2 linked regions of the Neodiprion lecontei genome follow. The protein of the gene in region 1 binds, or shares a complex with, the protein of each later gene. Links are inferred from orthologs where the notes say so. Each region holds a gene or a part of one and is shown in the gene's direction. Other genes may lie near its edges.

The links.
Region 2: eukaryotic translation initiation factor 3 subunit J (region 1) and eukaryotic translation initiation factor 3 subunit L share a complex: the UniProt entries of both Drosophila melanogaster proteins name them as parts of the eukaryotic translation initiation factor 3 (eIF-3) complex. The link is inferred for Neodiprion lecontei from reciprocal best matches to the Drosophila melanogaster genes eIF3j and eIF3l.

The regions. Positions count from the first base shown.
Region 1 is NC_060260.1:36,067,051-36,076,448, reverse strand, and holds eukaryotic translation initiation factor 3 subunit J, read left to right. Parts: upstream 1-3,570; 5' UTR 3,571-3,709; coding exon 3,710-3,725; intron 3,726-3,840; coding exon 3,841-3,923; intron 3,924-4,269; coding exon 4,270-4,383; intron 4,384-4,616; coding exon 4,617-4,755; intron 4,756-6,184; coding exon 6,185-6,349; intron 6,350-6,429; coding exon 6,430-6,626; 3' UTR 6,627-7,231; downstream 7,232-9,398. Other genes in the region: putative nuclease HARBI1, read right to left, coding at 1,336-1,630, 1,729-1,937, 2,059-2,355, 2,468-2,734; leukotriene A-4 hydrolase, read left to right, coding at 8,634-8,772, 9,091-9,203. UniProt on the Drosophila melanogaster protein: Component of the eukaryotic translation initiation factor 3 (eIF-3) complex, which is involved in protein synthesis of a specialized repertoire of mRNAs and, together with other initiation factors, stimulates binding of mRNA and methionyl-tRNAi to the 40S ribosome.
Region 2 is NC_060261.1:18,340,249-18,348,605, reverse strand, and holds eukaryotic translation initiation factor 3 subunit L, read left to right. Parts: upstream 1-3,226; 5' UTR 3,227-3,396; coding exon 3,397-3,420; intron 3,421-3,485; coding exon 3,486-4,952; intron 4,953-5,749; coding exon 5,750-5,884; 3' UTR 5,885-5,971; downstream 5,972-8,357. Other genes in the region: ATPase family AAA domain-containing protein 5, read right to left, coding at 7,234-7,953, 8,251-8,357. UniProt on the Drosophila melanogaster protein: Component of the eukaryotic translation initiation factor 3 (eIF-3) complex, which is involved in protein synthesis of a specialized repertoire of mRNAs and, together with other initiation factors, stimulates binding of mRNA and methionyl-tRNAi to the 40S ribosome.

The DNA.
Region 1 (9,398 bases):
TTCCTGTTAATTTATATTGTTCGAATATAATATTTTCCAAACAATTCGTAATTATCAATTTCGTACGCATCAGAACAATCGAGTAATATTTAGGCAACAAGCATTTGCTTAAGTGCAGTCCGAACTCGACTTGACCAAGATACGTAAATAAGACTGCGTTAATTGACTATGAAACGTTGCGTGCTCAAGACCATGCTTATTTCAAATAAGACTGGACTATGCAACCTTGTAAGCACGCTTCAAATAAGACCGACTTGATGAAGACCGTCTTATTTGCCGCGTCTCAAGACCGTCTTGTTTGACGTCTATGGAACCAAACGCCATCTTAAGGCCTCGTATAAGACCGTCTTATTCGAGTCCGGTCTTAAGCACTGACTATGAATACCGGCCTATGAATACCGGCCTATGGCCCGTATTCATAGTCAGGTCTCAAGGCGGTGCTTAAGACCGTCTTGGTGAAGATCGTCTTATTCGTTCAAGACCGTCTTGAGATGCTATGTATTCATAGTCGGAAAACAAGACGGTCTTCGTCAAGAATTTGGTCTCAAGCGCTAGCTTATTTCATTCAAGACCGTCTTGACGAAGACTGAGCTTGAGACGGTCTTATTCGACGTTCGGTTATGTTCGGAATATTTCCGATGTATCCCCCAATAAGATGCTCGGATTTTATTTCTCAGCCTGTGCAAGATATTCGTATAGGCATGCAGCTCTTGAGTATTTTTATAGTTTATGAACACAACAACGTTAGCGCCACGTAGAGGAACTAAAAAACGGGAACAAATCGCGTGCAATTTTTTGTAGTGGGTGTATAGCTATAAAACGAAGAAGAAGAAAAAGAATTTTATAGTGTATGTTTATGTGTATATAATTTTTATATACACATATTTTAACCTATATCATTATGTAAATCTCTATACCGGTTATTGATAAATAAATTGTATTGATATGTTAAAAGGAATCCCGGTGCAGACTTGCAAAAAAATGCGCGTGAAAGGGACAACCTTTGATCTTCAAAGTTCAAAAGAGCAACTTTAGTTCTATTTACTGGCTGTATTTATAATGTATTGAATATTTTTACGTAGACAAATTTTCATAAGTATTATCGTAACTATAAGACTGACGCTTAGTACAATTACGTACATATCAGTATTTTCATGAGTAAGTGAGGGGTTTAAAAATAAAATGAGAACCAATGATAAGTTATGAGTAAAATATGTATTCTAATGTTAACTGTTTGTACAGATTAAATTCAATTTTATTAAATATTTGGAGTATATTCATTCTAAAATCAATTAGTCTTTACAATTAAATTAACTTGATATACATATATTTTGATTAAATGAATAACCGTTCGATTAGAGCTTCGCGTATTGCAAAACCCTCTCCAGGCTGCCAATGCGGTGCTTGAGGTGGCAATTCATCCGCTTCTTCTTCCTCGATGCGATTATCTTCCGGAAGAGCATTATCCAATGTTAGTGATAAATTGTGTAGTACGGCACAAGCTACAACAATTGTGGTAGAGCACAACAATTTGGTTCCCAAACCTCGGGATAGGCAAGGAAAACGTCGCTTCCAAACTCCAAATGTTCTTTCAACAATTTGCCTTGTTCTGCTTTGTACGTTGTTATACCTATCAAGATACCGACTTGGTTAATTCACACATGTATACTTTGTCAATTTTATGACTACTTATCGAAATCTAAAGTAATGCGATAATCTTTATCTTACCTTTGTTGAGCATCTGTAATTGGATTTGCCAGTGGAGTCAGCAGAAATGGCAAGCACGGATAGCCGGCATCTCCAACCAGGGTTCCAGTAAGTTGTCTCTCATGATACCGCATGTAAATTCGTGAATTTTGGAATATTTGACTGTCATGGTTACTTCCAGGCCATTCCGGAACCACATCCAAGAATTCCATATTGGGTCCGATAACTGCCTGTGGTATCATTTAAATTAAAAGTACCGATTTTCATAGAATAGTATTGTTTATTTGTATCCTAGATAAAATTAATTGCAACTTATGGTATTTGTAAACGGTTATCACCAACGCGACATACCTGTACATTGAGGGAAAAATATCCCTTACGATTCCTATAAACCTCCTGCAGGTCTGCAAATTTCGTATGACATAATCGAATGTGAGTGCAGTCGATAGCGCCATCAACGCCAGGTAAACCGATACCCTCCCTGCGTGCACCAAGTTGTCTGAATAGATCTCTGTTTGCGATCATAGCAGCTTCCGTACTAGGAAATTTGATAATTGCGTGAATCAATGATGCAATTTGAGCCGATACTCTGTGTATTATCCTCGATACTGTAGACTGCGATATAGTCATCAGATCTCCGTTGACGAGCTGTACAGTACAAAATGTATTAGCAATCATTTATTCCATGATCACAGGAAGCAATGAAATCACTTTATATTTTCAGTAGAATGTCAGGAATTATAATCACAATGATCCTTACTTGAAAGCTAGCGGTAGCGTAAAATCGTAGACATATTAATAATTGCATGACAGGTGGAATTGGTAGACCACGATTATTGGCACTGACTAAGGCAGCTTCAATTCTAGGTAGTATTCCGTACATAATACCATCCTTTGAAAATCGGAATCGCCGTTTGAACTCCTGCTCGGAATAAAACTCGAACGGGTTTTGACCATCTCTGATGTATCTCTTCGGAGCTCGCTGTACTTCACCCTCGTCTTCGTCATTCGGCCCAACGTTGACCATTGAACAATCATATTATTCATTTCTTCGATCTGATCGTAGAAATTAAACATATCTTGCATATTCGCCATGTCAGTAGAATTTCACTATTCACTTCACTTCACAAATTTTTCAAAGCGAATGCTCTCATAACCTCTACTTCAATTGCAAGTTTCCGTTGCTACCCTTTTACAGTAAATAATCCCGTCCCAGCTGCACTTTCCCAAACATTCCTTCACAATCTATTCCTGTTAATTTATATTGTTCGAATATAATATTTTCCAAACAATTCGTAATTATCAATTTCGTACGCATCAGAACAATTGAGTAATATTTAGGCAACAAGCATTTGCTTAAGTGCAGTCCGAACTCGACTTGATCAAGATACGTAAATAAGACTGCGTTAATTGACTATGAAACGTTGCGTGCTCAAGACCATGCTTATTTCAAATAAGACTGGACTATGCAACCTTGTAAGCACGCTTCGAATAAGACCGACTTGATGAAGACCGTCTTATTTGCCGCGTCTCAAGACCGTCTTGTTTGACGTCTATGGAACCAAACGCCATCTTAAGGCCTCGTATAAGACCGTCTTATTCGAGTCCGGTCTTAAGCACTGACTATGAATACCGGCCTAAGTATATTTTTCAAAATTTTTCTCAGCCACGCTATTCTCGAAGGTCATAGAAGAATTGGCGAGAGAGAGAGAGAGAGAGAGAGAGAGAGAGAGAGAGAAGAGATAGAATAGTTAGGGTTTTGAGACAGTAGAGGCGCTTCTTTCACTGTATCCGGTCAACTTCCACTCCGTACTATACTCTTTCTCTTTGTTCAAGTTTTTAGAGGACGAATGGACAGCCAGAGCTGCAACGGTAAACAGTTGAATCATTCGCCCCATGAGATTAAGGACAAGGCCCGCCGTGCACCGCCGTGGCTCGTTGATTTTTGTTGCGTGCACGGTTTTTCCGACTATTTGAGTGATATTTCATAAAAATCAAGATCATGGATGACGAGTGGGGTATGTATTTTAAATGATTAAATATTCTGTGCCGATACATTTGATCAAAGGAAATGAATTTCTCGTGATTCGGCTTAATTTTTGACAACTCGTTTCGTATCGTATCATATTGCAGACGCGGATAATGTTGAGGCCAAATTCGACCTCGCAATGAGGTCCAATAAATGGGAAGGCGAAGATGAAGAGGAAGACGTTAAGGTATCGAAGTACAATGTGATATTCAGTTAACAAACATTCGAATACTCTCATTAATTTCATTCTGCCTCCATATGTTTCACCACCAAGTTTTCATAACCTTGTCCTAATTACCGCATGGAATTTTTGAGTGTCTTTTCTCTATGAAAATTGACGACCTATCTTGCCCGTGTCAAATAAATCAATATGTATTCACTTTTATTCTTTAAACATCATTTTCTCAAAAGATGTGTATATTATTCCAAAGTCTTTGACATGATATTTTTTTCTTTCCCATTTCCATTACCACTTCATGTCAATAATCTCATTGACGCATACTTAATTGCTTAATATTTATTGACGTTATTAGGATAGTTGGGAAGATGTGGAAGAGGAAAAAAAAGATGTAGAAAAGGCTGCTGAGGTGCCAAAGGCTAAAGCAAAACCTAAAAAAACATTGGCCGATAAAATCGAGGAGCGTGAGGTCAGCGTCTCCATTACTAAAAAATGATTGTACTTATTTTATTTTCATTCATAGTCGCTTAATAAAAGATTCACTACAGTAACTTTGCTAATCGGTTTAATTGACTGAAATCTTACAGGATTGTTGAGAAATATTTCTGATATAGTAGATGAATCCTGTATTTAAATTCTCTATTGGGAGTATCAATCAAACGATACAAAGTATTTTAAACAAATCATTTTCTTCACATCTAGAAAAAGACGCGAGAAGAAGCAGAAAGAAAGGCGAAGGAAAAGGAAGAGGCCTTAACACCTGAGGAAAGGAGAGCGGAAATGTTGAGACGTCAGAGGCTTCAGGAAGAAGCGGATCTTCGACTAGCCATGGAAACATTTGGTTTGTCAAACCTTGTTGACTTTAGCCCCCGTAAACCACAAAAAAGTGAAAAAAAATAACAATTCTCCCCTGCTATCAAATATTCTCACAATCATAATAATTATTATTAATCCACTTGTACTATCTATCACTTTTAATTTTTACCTGTATTCGAATCTGCTGTATCTCAGATTATTGTCAGATTTGTGGAATTTTATTTTTATTGATATTAAATTTATCTGTTGCACATAATTTTAGTTTTCTGGTGTTGCTACAGATATTTTTTTTTTTACCGAAACATTCTTACAACAACCCCGACACGTATGAATTCTGGTGAACGTATAACAGTGAAATATACCATAATTAATTTAATACTAGAATTAACCTTGAGGCGATATTTCGTAAATAACATAAAACTTAATTCAATCCTGAGATAATTGATGAAGCTGATTCAAATTCTCAATTATTCAAATTTGACTGATGCTTAATTCTTTCGATATACTTTGACTCATGTGTGGTTACCGCGAGATTAGGCAAGCTTAAGACATTGTGATAGATTTTCGAGGGGTATAGAATTCTGAGCCAATGAACTTGACGAAATTGTATCAAATTAGTCTATAAACTTAATCATAAATCAGATTCTTTGTTTCGAAGTAGTTTTTTCTTGAAATTTCAAGTTAAAATGATGAAGTCTAATTTAATTAGTGATTCTGAATACGTTTTGCATTATTTTTCATTGCTTGAACATACGTAGAAAAGCGCAGTATTAAGGATGAAAATAACCACGTAAACATTTCCACCTAAGATTAATGAAATATTAAGTGAAAGTAACGTTAATTTTTTTTTTTATCTAACAACATTAAGTTTCGAAATGCTACATTAATGAACCTATAATTGTCAGGAACTGTACCAGAGATGAACGAAATCCATACGATTTATTACCAATTTTAATACAATGAAATTTAATAATGTTATGTATTTTAATAAAATTGATATTTTGCACAAACAAACTGTTGTGTCCACGTCAGTCTTTATACATCCTTGCATACTGTTTTTAATCTCCTGTATTGTTCCTGATGAGCTGTTCGATAATGTATTCCTTATTTGTATCTCATTTTAAAGGTGTGTGGTGAAGATTGTATGGCTTCTAGCTACACAAATTTTTGTTTATCTTAAAATCTTTAAAAACGAAAATGCGCAAGTATTAAACAATAACAAGAAACTCCTATTTTAAATTAATAACAACCGTTTTAGGTTCCATCAAGTATTTATACACTTGTGAAACTTAAAATTATTTTCTAATTACTTATTAACTGGATTGGGTAGAAGTATAAGATGGAAAGAAAATGCTATCACGAAAATTGAAGATACAGGTCAAAAATTTGTATGTGCTGTTGTCAAGTTACCAGTGTTATCTAATTTATTATGAAACTCACGTTTTTATGTTAAGGTGTGAACCCTGAAGCTGCTACAGGACTTGACTCTATGACACCTGACACAAAAGAAGATTTCGACCAGTTCAGTGAAGCACTTTTAAAGAAAATAAACCAATTCAACAAGCATGCTGAGTTTACCACGTTCGCCGAAGAGTTCATTAAAAACATTGCCGTGAATTGTTAGTATCTTACTCTTTATGGAATATTATCTTTCTCAATCATATGCACTCTTTTTTAATTGAAATTAAAATTGTTGCAGTGTCTTCGACAAGTTTGAAAAAAGTGAAAACGACAATTGAAAATTTAGCTATCGAAAAACAAAAGATTGAAAAAGGGGATAAGGGTAAGAAGAACAAGGGTAAAGGCAAAGCAAAACTACGAGTCGAGGGTGATAATTCACATCTAAATGAGTATGGCGATTATGGTTTTGATGACGAATTTAATGATTTTATGTAGCGCCGAGATGTAAGTGAAAGTCAGTTACTGTTACAAAACAACAATCTGCATACATGGAAACAGACAAAAAATAGATTTATTATACAAAATGTAAGAAAGTGACAGCCAAAAAAACTAAAAACATGCAGCTCCAACATGAATGTACTAATACATGACGATTGTAAGGCATGTAGATCCATGCCCGTTATTATACATGTTGAATATTATTATTAAATCACATCGAAACCAGAGTTTGTTGTCATTATTTTTTTTTGGTTCAGTGGCTATTTCTATTAAGCCAGTTTAGTGCAGATTTTACAATATCAAATTTAAATATCTATATAGTTAGATAACTTTGAATATTAAGAATTGCTCTAAATTAAAGAAATGACAATTTAGAGCCATGAGTTGATTGTTACCACGCTACTTTAATTCAATTTCAAATACTATTAAAACTATTACTTACGTCTGTTCTCCTACCCGCAGTTCTTCATGCAATGCAATAATCAATGTTAATAAATTTTGTATAACTAATAACAACTACTTACATTGTGCGTATTGGTTGATAAATCAAAGTTGATTTTAAAAAGAATATATTAAGTAATAAAGGATCACTGAAATGCGAATGTTGAAACGTCATTTGCTGTTTATTACCAGAAAAATTCACTTCGATTAAACTTGATAAACCCTACAACATTTATCATCCAGTTCTCTTACGTTCAATCTCAGACAATCAATTTTTCAGCACTGTGAATTTGATGTGGTGTCAGAAATAAACATGTTCCACAAGTCGAATGTGCGACTGTAAACAAAAAAAGAAGTCGTCATTATTTTGAGGAACCAAAATGGATTGGACGTTTCCTGAGGGTTAAGAAGCCTTGAATTTTTTGTCCTATCTGAGAAAATGGAAGTACTCATGGTTTAGTGCGTCAGCAACATTAACTGTTTAGTTAATTCATTTGATTTTTGCATCTTCTTTGATGACAGTGATTTAATGACTGCATAAATCTCAGCCTTTGCTCTAGGACCTCAGCAGTTACTGTTTACAACGAACTGTTCCTACGAAAATCTTATACAGTCATGGTATCTCCAATGCACAAATGTCTATGGTCATTGGCCTTTAAAATAGAAATATATCGGCCATTATCCTTTGAATTGGGGCGAAGAATGTTCGTGAATGATTATAATCATGACGATAGTTACATCCATGGATTGAATAGTTATATTAGTATGACTCTGATTGTGTCTAATTCTGTACGCTTTTATTACCAAGAATTACACTTAATTCAAATATCTATTTCTTTTCAGCCTCCGTGCTTTCCAACTGTGTTTCTACTAATAAATTTTCGTCAACAACACGTTTAATTCCAATTTGCAACTGCATTACGATAAGCGATAAACTCAACTTACCTGTCAAGCAAAACATGAAAGGCTGATAACTTACGATCTTTTCATATCTGATGAAAGAAAGTTGTTTTCAACTTAAATACACTTCAATGATTCATGATTTCTTGCTATGAATTCTAAATTGTCAATCTGGAGAAAAAAAACTTGATAAAAGCATTTTTTTATATCTAATTAATTTTTGTTTTATTGACATAATAACACTGCTCGCCACAGCCTTCAAATTATTACCCCAAAAAAAAACTCTGTACAAAAACATTTGTTTCTTTTCCAATTCATCCAAGTAATAATTTATAACTCACAGCGAAAGATTAAAAAAAAAATGTTTAATTCAATTATTGTAAAAAAATGCTCTGAAATCCGCAGAATTAACAAAGGAACAGAGATTCTTCTTTAAATATTTTTGTCAACATATTATTTTAGGACTTACTGCAAGCAAAAGAATCGATACCGAATTTTTTTTTAATTCTGCGATCAGAGAATAATAAGATATATAAGGGTCATTCTCAAAAGTAATTGACCCTCGTTATCAGCATCATTCGGGGTAAGAAGCGAAGAAAAAACTGGATGGTAATCGGTAGAAAGTGGTTGAAGCGTAATTGGAATTTTGAATAATCTTAAATCATGGGATTAGCGGTGCGTCCATTTCTGATACGCTCTCTGAAGTACATTTCTTTCCTAACGTTATTCATTCCGGCTCAGTGGTCGGCAGCAGCAAACATGTCGTTGAGTCCAGGAGATCCGAATTCCTATTCACGGCCCGGTATTGTAATATATTTGCATTTAATGAATTAATACATACAATTCCGCTATAATTTAATGTTTTAATCAATGCTATTTCGATTGAGCTTGAATCGTTTATGAATGTTTATCGTTAGCTGAAAGTCTTAACCTACAACAAAATATTTTTTGTGTACATTTCGAAATAATTAGTGGCTTGTCATTTGATACACCCATAAATATGAGTCGAAATAGGTTTTCTGAGCTGCAAACTCTTTCACATATCTAAATACGGCTTGAATAACTATTTGACGTTATTCTCCGTATCTTGTTATTGTTTCAATTATTCAAATATTTCCAGACTTAGCCGTGGTGACGCATATTGATCTGCACCTGCGTGTGGATTTTGACAAAAAAGTATTGGTTGGAAGCGTTATTTTGGATGTTAAAAAATCTGGGGATACCAACGAAGTGGTTAGTATTGTTCCATAAGGCGACTTAAATTTCTTTTAGTGTGAGTGCCTTCGATAATGTCTTTATTCATCCACATGTAAAGTTGCATTAGTGAATGAGATAGTACAATCAATAATCCGAAATGCTTTTACTAGCGTGAACACGTCCAAGTACAGAGTTTCAATTATTGAGAAATTCTTAAAATTGGTATTTTCA
Region 2 (8,357 bases), on another chromosome or scaffold:
ATGAATGAATTAAATCTCGTCGTTGGCTCACAGAGCTTCAATTATGCCGAGAGCATGGAAAGAAAGCGCGTGACGAGACAGAATAGGCGCAGCTCATTGGAGACGAAGGATGGTCGTATAGCTCGTCAAGCGGAATTGCAAGCTAAAAATGACGCATATGAGCAAGAAGAGGGATTGCTATATGGTGCTGGAATAGCTGATTAACCGGTGAGCATTTTTTATAATTAATTACTGCCTTGAATTTCTCGTTTTCGCTACATTTTATTTCAAACGCGTTTTTCTCGAAACGACTTTTTTTCGACTAGCGTACATTCTAGCTCAAAAAGTTATTGATCAATCGTTCTGAAATTTGGTGTAGATATTCTTTATTCAATTCCACGTAACATGAACCAAATTCGGGGATTATATTGTTATTAAAAATATATGTTTTTATGCAAGAAAGATGAAAAAATATAGTATAAAAACATGACATTGTGTTCAAACACCTCAAAAACATGCAATTTTCATTTCGTTTGATCAAAATTAGGTTCATATTCTTAGAAAATATGTTTTTAATGAAAAAAAAAAATCCCGATGATTACAGATAAAAATTGCGACCTCAGGGATGTACGCCAGCCAAATGCTCGGATGGCAATCGCCCATGGACTGCACGCGGTAACTCCACTATTTCCGGCGGAAATCGTTTGAAAAAATTTTAAAATGTACTTCAAAACATAAATAAAATATCCTCCAAGTTTAAACAATTTGTGATTATTCCTTCCTGGTTAAAAAAAATCATGAAAAACAGAAAAATTTCGACCTCATAAACCGGTTTCCCCCCTTCAGCAACCCAGTAACACCGCGCAGTGTATCTTTACAAGACTATATGGTCGGTACTTATGACCACCCAAAACTACTGACTCTGCGTTCTGGTATGTACATTTTCACTACATAATTTAAGGTCCACCTCTCGATTAGTTGAAAAGTGTTCGTTAAGACGTCATACTCAGATATATGAGCTCTACGGGCTGTACGGACGTTATAGGTATGTCGTTTACGTTTACGACCGGACACTTAAGGAGTTACATTCTAAATTAAATCGCAAAAATGTACTGAGATGTACAATGAGTAGTTTGGGTTGCCAATATCGATTAATTGTAAGTATTAAAGTACACTGGAAAGACGTGAAACAGTCATGTTATAAAATTACAGTTGGGATATTAAGTGGAATCTACAAGGAGGAACTCGATGGATAATAAGATTAATAATAATGATTTGATGTACAACTTACCTTGTCTCTACTCGATTCAGGACCAGCAGTTAGCGGCCGATGATTCTCGTGGAGCGGCAAGGAATCGACGATAAGTTTTAGGGTTTGAGGAACTAATTGATAATTAGACTTTGAGTTTATAGGTGGATTTAAAAAGAATTAAAACTTGAATCTGATACTTTTAGATCATTCAAGATCGATGATAACACTATAAGTTGGATTACAAATTGGAATATGATATTATTTAAAATACTTGGATGAAATTGTACTTCGTCACCTCATAAAGTCTGTTCGCGTACCCCGGCTAGCTTTTAGCTTGCTCCCAGAGCTACTTTGCTGGAGTTTATAATATTTGATATTGAATATATTTTCGCGTGTGGCTCCATGTATATTTTAGAATAATTTTTACCATCGAAATATTCCTGTAATTCAATAATTTTATATTTGAATAATTGTATACTTAAATAATTGTTTGGAAGACTGCACAGGTGTGCAAGGGTGCATTGAGTATTGTTATTTTATACCGGGACAATCTCTTAAAATTTGAAAATAAACTGCGCATGCGCCAAATAATTCGATCTCATTGGTCGGCGAAATCTTCCCAGAGCGATATTCTTGTCTGCGATGCAGGAGGCCAACGTACATAATGTGTGCGTTTGAATTTTCAAAGAGCATAAGCATTAAATTCTGACTGCTCTTTGAAGAATCAACTTTCCTACCCAATAACAAATGCTTCCCAAGCCTTTCCGAGCCACTGCCTCAATTATTTAAGATTTTAACCTCGGAAATTTGTATTAACTACATCGCCGCCAGAAACAGTTTAACAGCTGAAACTCGGGATGGCCAGCCTGCATGAACGGCCGATAACACTCGCGCATGCGCAGTTTATTTTCAAGTTTCACGAGATTTTCCCGATATACGATACCTAATGGCTTTGCTTCACCTCAAGTAAAATAATATTGACTAATACGACTTTTCATCTATGATCAAATATGATCGAAGAAGGCCCTTAAGGCTTCGCAACGTTGCAAGCTGTTGTGCACCATTTCTGAGAATTCAGCCTTCGCGACGTACCGACGCACTGACGGTGGCACAGCATGGTAAGGCTGATGATTATATGAAGGTAAATATAATTATTAAATATAAGTATTGTAACATAGAGAAATAATAGGCATGGTTATGTATGCTATATATCGGTAATGAGATATGAGTATAATAGCCTTGAGTACAAGTGTCGATTATGTCTATGGTATCCTTACCGACAAAACCACTTAGTGCGCGTGGCGTTGGTCTATGCTTTTCCTGAGAACCACCTCTGAGGTTTTTCGATTGATTACAATTAATGCTGAATAGTGCCTTTGAGTAGGTCAAGTTATGATTATGGTAATTTTAAGATTCTGTAGGAGGATGTCACGATTTTCAGTTAAGTCTGGTTTGCAATTTAAATACATAGTTAGGTATGAGTAACTAAACGTCATCTAGTAACTTTTGGTTTGATCGCAACATCCTTATGCCAAAGCAAGGCGTGGTTTGTAAAAACTGTGAATATAAAGAAAAATATTTGTAGCGAGGCGGTCGCATGTCACAGGCGGTTGGTGATGGTTATTTAGGGTGCATTCCGATATTAGCTCCCCGTGCTGTCAACAATTTCTTATCGTTTTTGCGCTGCCGAGTTTGTGAATAGTTCTGCCTGTGTCCTAGGGAGTTTTTAGCGCGGCTACCTAATTTTGGAACGCTTCCTAAGGGGAGTTTTGGGTGGAACGCTCGCTTACGGGAGTTTTGGGCGGAACCCTTAGAGCATATATTACTGATGGTAGCCTTGCGATGTACAGCCTGTCTCTCGCACTCTACAACCTGGTTATCTGATACGTTTCCTTTCAGCCAATAAAATCCAGAGTGAGAGAGTCAGAGTATCCACGGTAACCTGGGGATATATATTTCGCCCTCTCATCACTACGGCCAGAGTTTTCGCGAAGTTGATGGCATGTGTAGCTGCCTCTAGTTGGATATGCTGTAAGGGCTAAGCTAGAGAGTACCTAGGAGGAAGTAACACGACCATCTAGCAATACTGACTGCTTTTCGGCCAGCTGCTTTCGTAGGAGTTACGTGAGGTTAACTTAGCACGCGTCGTGTGGGATTTCAGCACGATGTATGACGATTACAATGATCAGGTGAGTAAATCGAGCAATATGCAACAATTAGCACTGTCTAACTCCATTGTATTTTCATAATCCAGTATGATAGCTACGCCGACTACGGGCCAGTCGCGGATACCCACACCGATGAGTATGACAGGGACGCATACCGCCAGGTGCCCGAACTGGTTAGAAAGTTCTTGATATATTTTCGGAACTGTATAAACGAAGGAGTAATATTCGAGGTTCAAACCCTCTACGAGAATTCTTTTCCGAAACTGTCCGAGCAGTTCTTCGACAAACAGTCGTGGCCAGACGAGACCGACGTCGCCCACATCGTCGACAACGACCCAGTGTTCTTGGTCCTCTATAAGGAGCTCTACTACCGGCACATTTACGCCAGGATTCCAGGTGGTCCGACCCTAGAGCAGCGATTTGGTTCTTTCTTCAATTACTGTGATCTCTTCAACTATATTCTCAGCGCAGAGACTCCTGTTCCATTGGAACTCCCTGATCAATGGCTGTGGGAGCTGATCGACGAATTTGTTTACCAGTTTCAGTGCTTTGCTCAGTACCGTGCAAGGCTGTTGAAAAAGACACCGGAAGAGATAGAAAACTTGAATGCACATAATAACATATGGAGCGTACTTTGTATTCTCAATGTTCTACACTCGCTAGTTGATAAATCGAAGATCAAGAGTCAGCTTGAGGTTTATGCCAGTGGTGGGGATCCCGATTCTGTCGCTGGAAGTTTCGGTAGACATTCCCTGTATAAAATGCTTGGATATTTCTCACTGGTAGGTCTTCTCCGGCTCCACTCTTTGCTCGGAGATTACTATCAGGCTATAAAAGTCCTTGAGAATGTGGAACTTTACAAGAAAAGTGCGTATTCGCACGTCCCAGCCTGTCAGATTTCTACAGCCTACTATGTCGGCTTTGCTTACATGATGATGCGCCGGTATGCAGATGCCATAAGGACCTTCTCGAGCATCCTACTTTATATTCAGCGCACTAAGCAACTCTTTACGTCAAGAAGCTACCAAAATGATCAAATAAACAAACAGACCGAGCAAATGTACCACCTCCTTGCAATCTGTCTTGTTCTTCACCCTCAATGCATCGACGAGGTTCTGCAGCAGGCTCTGCGTGAAAAGAATTACCATGAAAAGATGTACAAGATGCAGTATGGTGATCTTGCTGAATTTGAAGCCTGCTTTCTCTACGCTTGCCCCAAGTTTTTGTCTCCTTGTCCGCCGCCACCTGATGCCCCCAATGAGGATTACGTCAAAGAAGCTATCAAGCATCAAACCCAAGTATTTATGGACGAAGTTGCCCAGCAGAAAATGTTACCCACAATTAGGTCCTACTTGAAGCTGTACACTACACTTCCCCTCAGTAAACTGGCCACATTCATGTGCAGCAGTACTCGGCCTGATGGATCTTGGGACTTGGATAAAGAGGTAGCCACATTGGGTATTTATTTGCTCTGCTTCAAGCATAAAATGAAAAACATTGTTTGGACCAAAGGCTCTTCGGGATTGGATGGAAAGTTTCAGTCTGGTTCTGAGGTAAGGATTTGTCATTTTTTAATGAAATCTACTTTGCATAAAACGGGTTGTCCGGTCCCACAAAGATCTTTAACTATTAATTAGCATGTGTTAATGACTTTCAGGGAGTTGAATTTTTCCTATGGTGTCAACTTTATTGAGTTGTTTATTTGCAGTGAAACTTCATCACTGTCGGAGTTAGATCGAAACGTTCTTCGGTGCATTCTTTTATTGTCACTCTTGAAAACAGTTAGTTTCCAATTCTTTCTTCAGTAATTAATTTTTTTTAAATATCTTACACATTAGTTCAGATTTTGCTGCCCAATTTTTAACAAAGTTCAAAGTATACTGGTTCCATGTATCAGTTTTAAAAGTTCAGTCTTGATTCTATGAAAAGAATTACTTAAAGTGGATGTGCACTTATACACTTCTCTGTCCTTTAAATTCAACACCAGCATTTATTGAAATTTTTTGGGTATCTAGAACATATTCCAAAGGTCCCTAAACAAAATCTGTTGAGTAAATACTTGATTCTCCAAACTCGAGTATGAAAAACTTGATCCATCGTTTTTCGCGTGTGACATTCAAAATATTTTGATTTAACATAAATAGTGATGGAGTTCCAGTGCAAACAGCTTCATGAATTCTCTGCTTTTATTTTTGCAATAGTCTGTAATTATATTGCATGTATAATCTATATGGAAAACGAATTAAGAATTTCAATGTCCCGATTGATCTATATCCTGCAGAATAACTCACAATTGTGAATGGTTTTGATGAAATTTTGATGAACTATTTTTGGTTTTTTTACTACAAAGCTGGACTTCTACATCGATCACGACATGATCCACATCGCTGACACCAAGGTGGCTCATCGTTACGGTGATTTCTTTATCCGTAAGATATTAAAGTTTGAAGAACTCAATCGCAAACTGCACAAAATAAAGATCTAATCTGTTGGAATGTAGATTTGCAATTATGATTAATTTGTGTACACCTAAATTTTGGAGAATAAATTAATGAAATTTTAAAATAAATAATTTTTATATTTTTTTGATACAAAAGTCGAAAACCTATCGATACCAATATTTTTCAATGCATTATTGTTACATCATAGATTAGGCACAACGTATCCTATTCACAGTATATACATTATTGCATCACCAAATGCATATTATCACTAATAGGTCACCTTTACAACGGTAAAATAAATTTGATTCTTTTCTCAAAGATGTTACTATGATTTACGAATTATCTACAGAAAATTTCAGATTAAAATTACATTTTCGAAGATGTTGTTTACTACAAAACTCATGCCATCAACAACTTCAAATCCGGCACAGAACAGTTGTAATGATAGAATTGATTTATTTTGAAAGAAAGAAAATTTCAGATCAATTCACGAGTTGATTACAACTCTTTGATTCGTTACCAACAATTAACTCATTTTCGAAACACTGTTCACTAATAAATAAATAAAAAATGTTTTCACAACCAAAGTTCTTGAAATCGCATAACATGGAAATTGACGTGTAATGGATAACCAAACAACAGTGCAGTAAAAAATCATGAAAATATTAAAGTAAATTAGTTGTATGGATAAAACTCAATGAGTATACTTCGTTATTGCGTTATATTTTGTAGTCACGTCTGAGAGTAGTCTCTGTAGTTTTTGTTAAATTACCTGAGTCTAAAAATATTCGTGATGAAAAATCCACATCTGCAATAAATTCTGTGTAAACTCTACCAATTTTTGGAAAATAAATCCAATAATTTAGTTGACAATGAAGTTCAGGAACAACTTACTACTTCAATTAACATATGAAAAAAATAGTAATAATGGTACGAAAAATATTAATGGCAATACATAGATTAACCATGAGAAGCATTCGTTCGTTATTTGAAAACAAGAACATTGGGAAGAGTAAAATTTTTTGTTTTACTTTTGCGAAGATGCTGAAGATCAAAAGATGAGAACTTGAAAAATTTGAATCAGGGATTGTTAGGCAAAATAAAAATAGATAGAAAAAAGATATGCTGGAATCTGAGATAGCCGGACATTTGAGATAAGCTTTGACGATGGTGGAAAGTTGTTTCCGCAGCATAAAATAAACTGGCCATTCAATTGTGATTCGAATTCAACCCGCATTTTACCTCAAATCATTGTCAGGTTCAATGAGATCGGATCATACAATTTAAAATTGGACCTCTGGAATCGAGATAATAAGTTATTAAGGCACTATGAGTGACCTAACCTAACTGATTCCCGGATTAGGGCTGATTAAATTAAACTCAAATTTAGTCATGTATGTTTATCTTGAAAAACAGTGCTAGCTGCAGCGAGTATGTTATTTGATGCAGATGTCAGGTTTAGGCTGTGTAAATAATTGTGAAATCGGTTTCCCCGTTTGGTATTAGCTTTTGCTCGGTTTTGTTCAGTTCTGCAGATAGTTCTTACAACGGGTAAATAATCTGTTGCTGTAGATCTATGTTCTAGAGTTGAAGGAATGGCTTGTGACAACGCGAAATCGACCCCCAATTTCACTTTTCTTTTTACAGCCAATTGATCAATGCAGTCAAAATTTGTCAGGCTGAAGGACTGTTCAGATTTGAATGAAAATCGGTGTAGCCATTCAGCGATGTCATTACCAAGATCAGTAAAATTTGAGTATGGATTAAAGTCTTCAGTAAGAGACAGGCTGGCATTCAATTTTTGGCTCCAAGGAGGTGCCGCAGGATTCTCCGTTTCTGTTAATGACGATATTAAAGAAATAGTATCTAACTTTTCTGCCAGTGTATTGACTAGTTTAGCGTTTTTCTCGGCGATTGCCTTATCATTTAATTTTTCTTTTTTATATTTCTTGCTAAGCTTAATCGCCGGTTTATAGAGCAGAGGCTGCATGTCTGGCCATAAAGTTGCCATGGTGTTTGAATGCAATTGAGAAGTACTTGGTGGTCCAGATAGCAGAATATACTGAAGTTGTAGCAATGATTGTCTTAAATCTCCATTTCGTAGAAGGATCTGCAAACAATATCAAATATAATCGCTGTGAGTAAAGGGAGGAAAACTAGGCAGACAATTTAAAAAATGAGCTTCAATTCGATTATTCAATTTCGAATTCAGAATTTTACAAGATTGCATAACTTGTGGCTTTGATTTTACACAATGTAATAGCTCTCAAAAAAAAAAGTTCAAGACCAAGAAAGTTAAAAAAAAGGGCGCCACAGCTTGCTTATTACAATTTGATTGGTTTCACTATACACCTGAAATTCCCTGACGTTTAACAATTTTCCAATACAGGGGCCATCTGCTACTTACATTCAAGCAAGGTTGAGGGAGTCGATACCCAGATTCAGCTAATGATATTAATTCTAATAATGCCGAGACTCTGTCTCCTTTAGCTGCTTGAAAATGAATGAATTGTT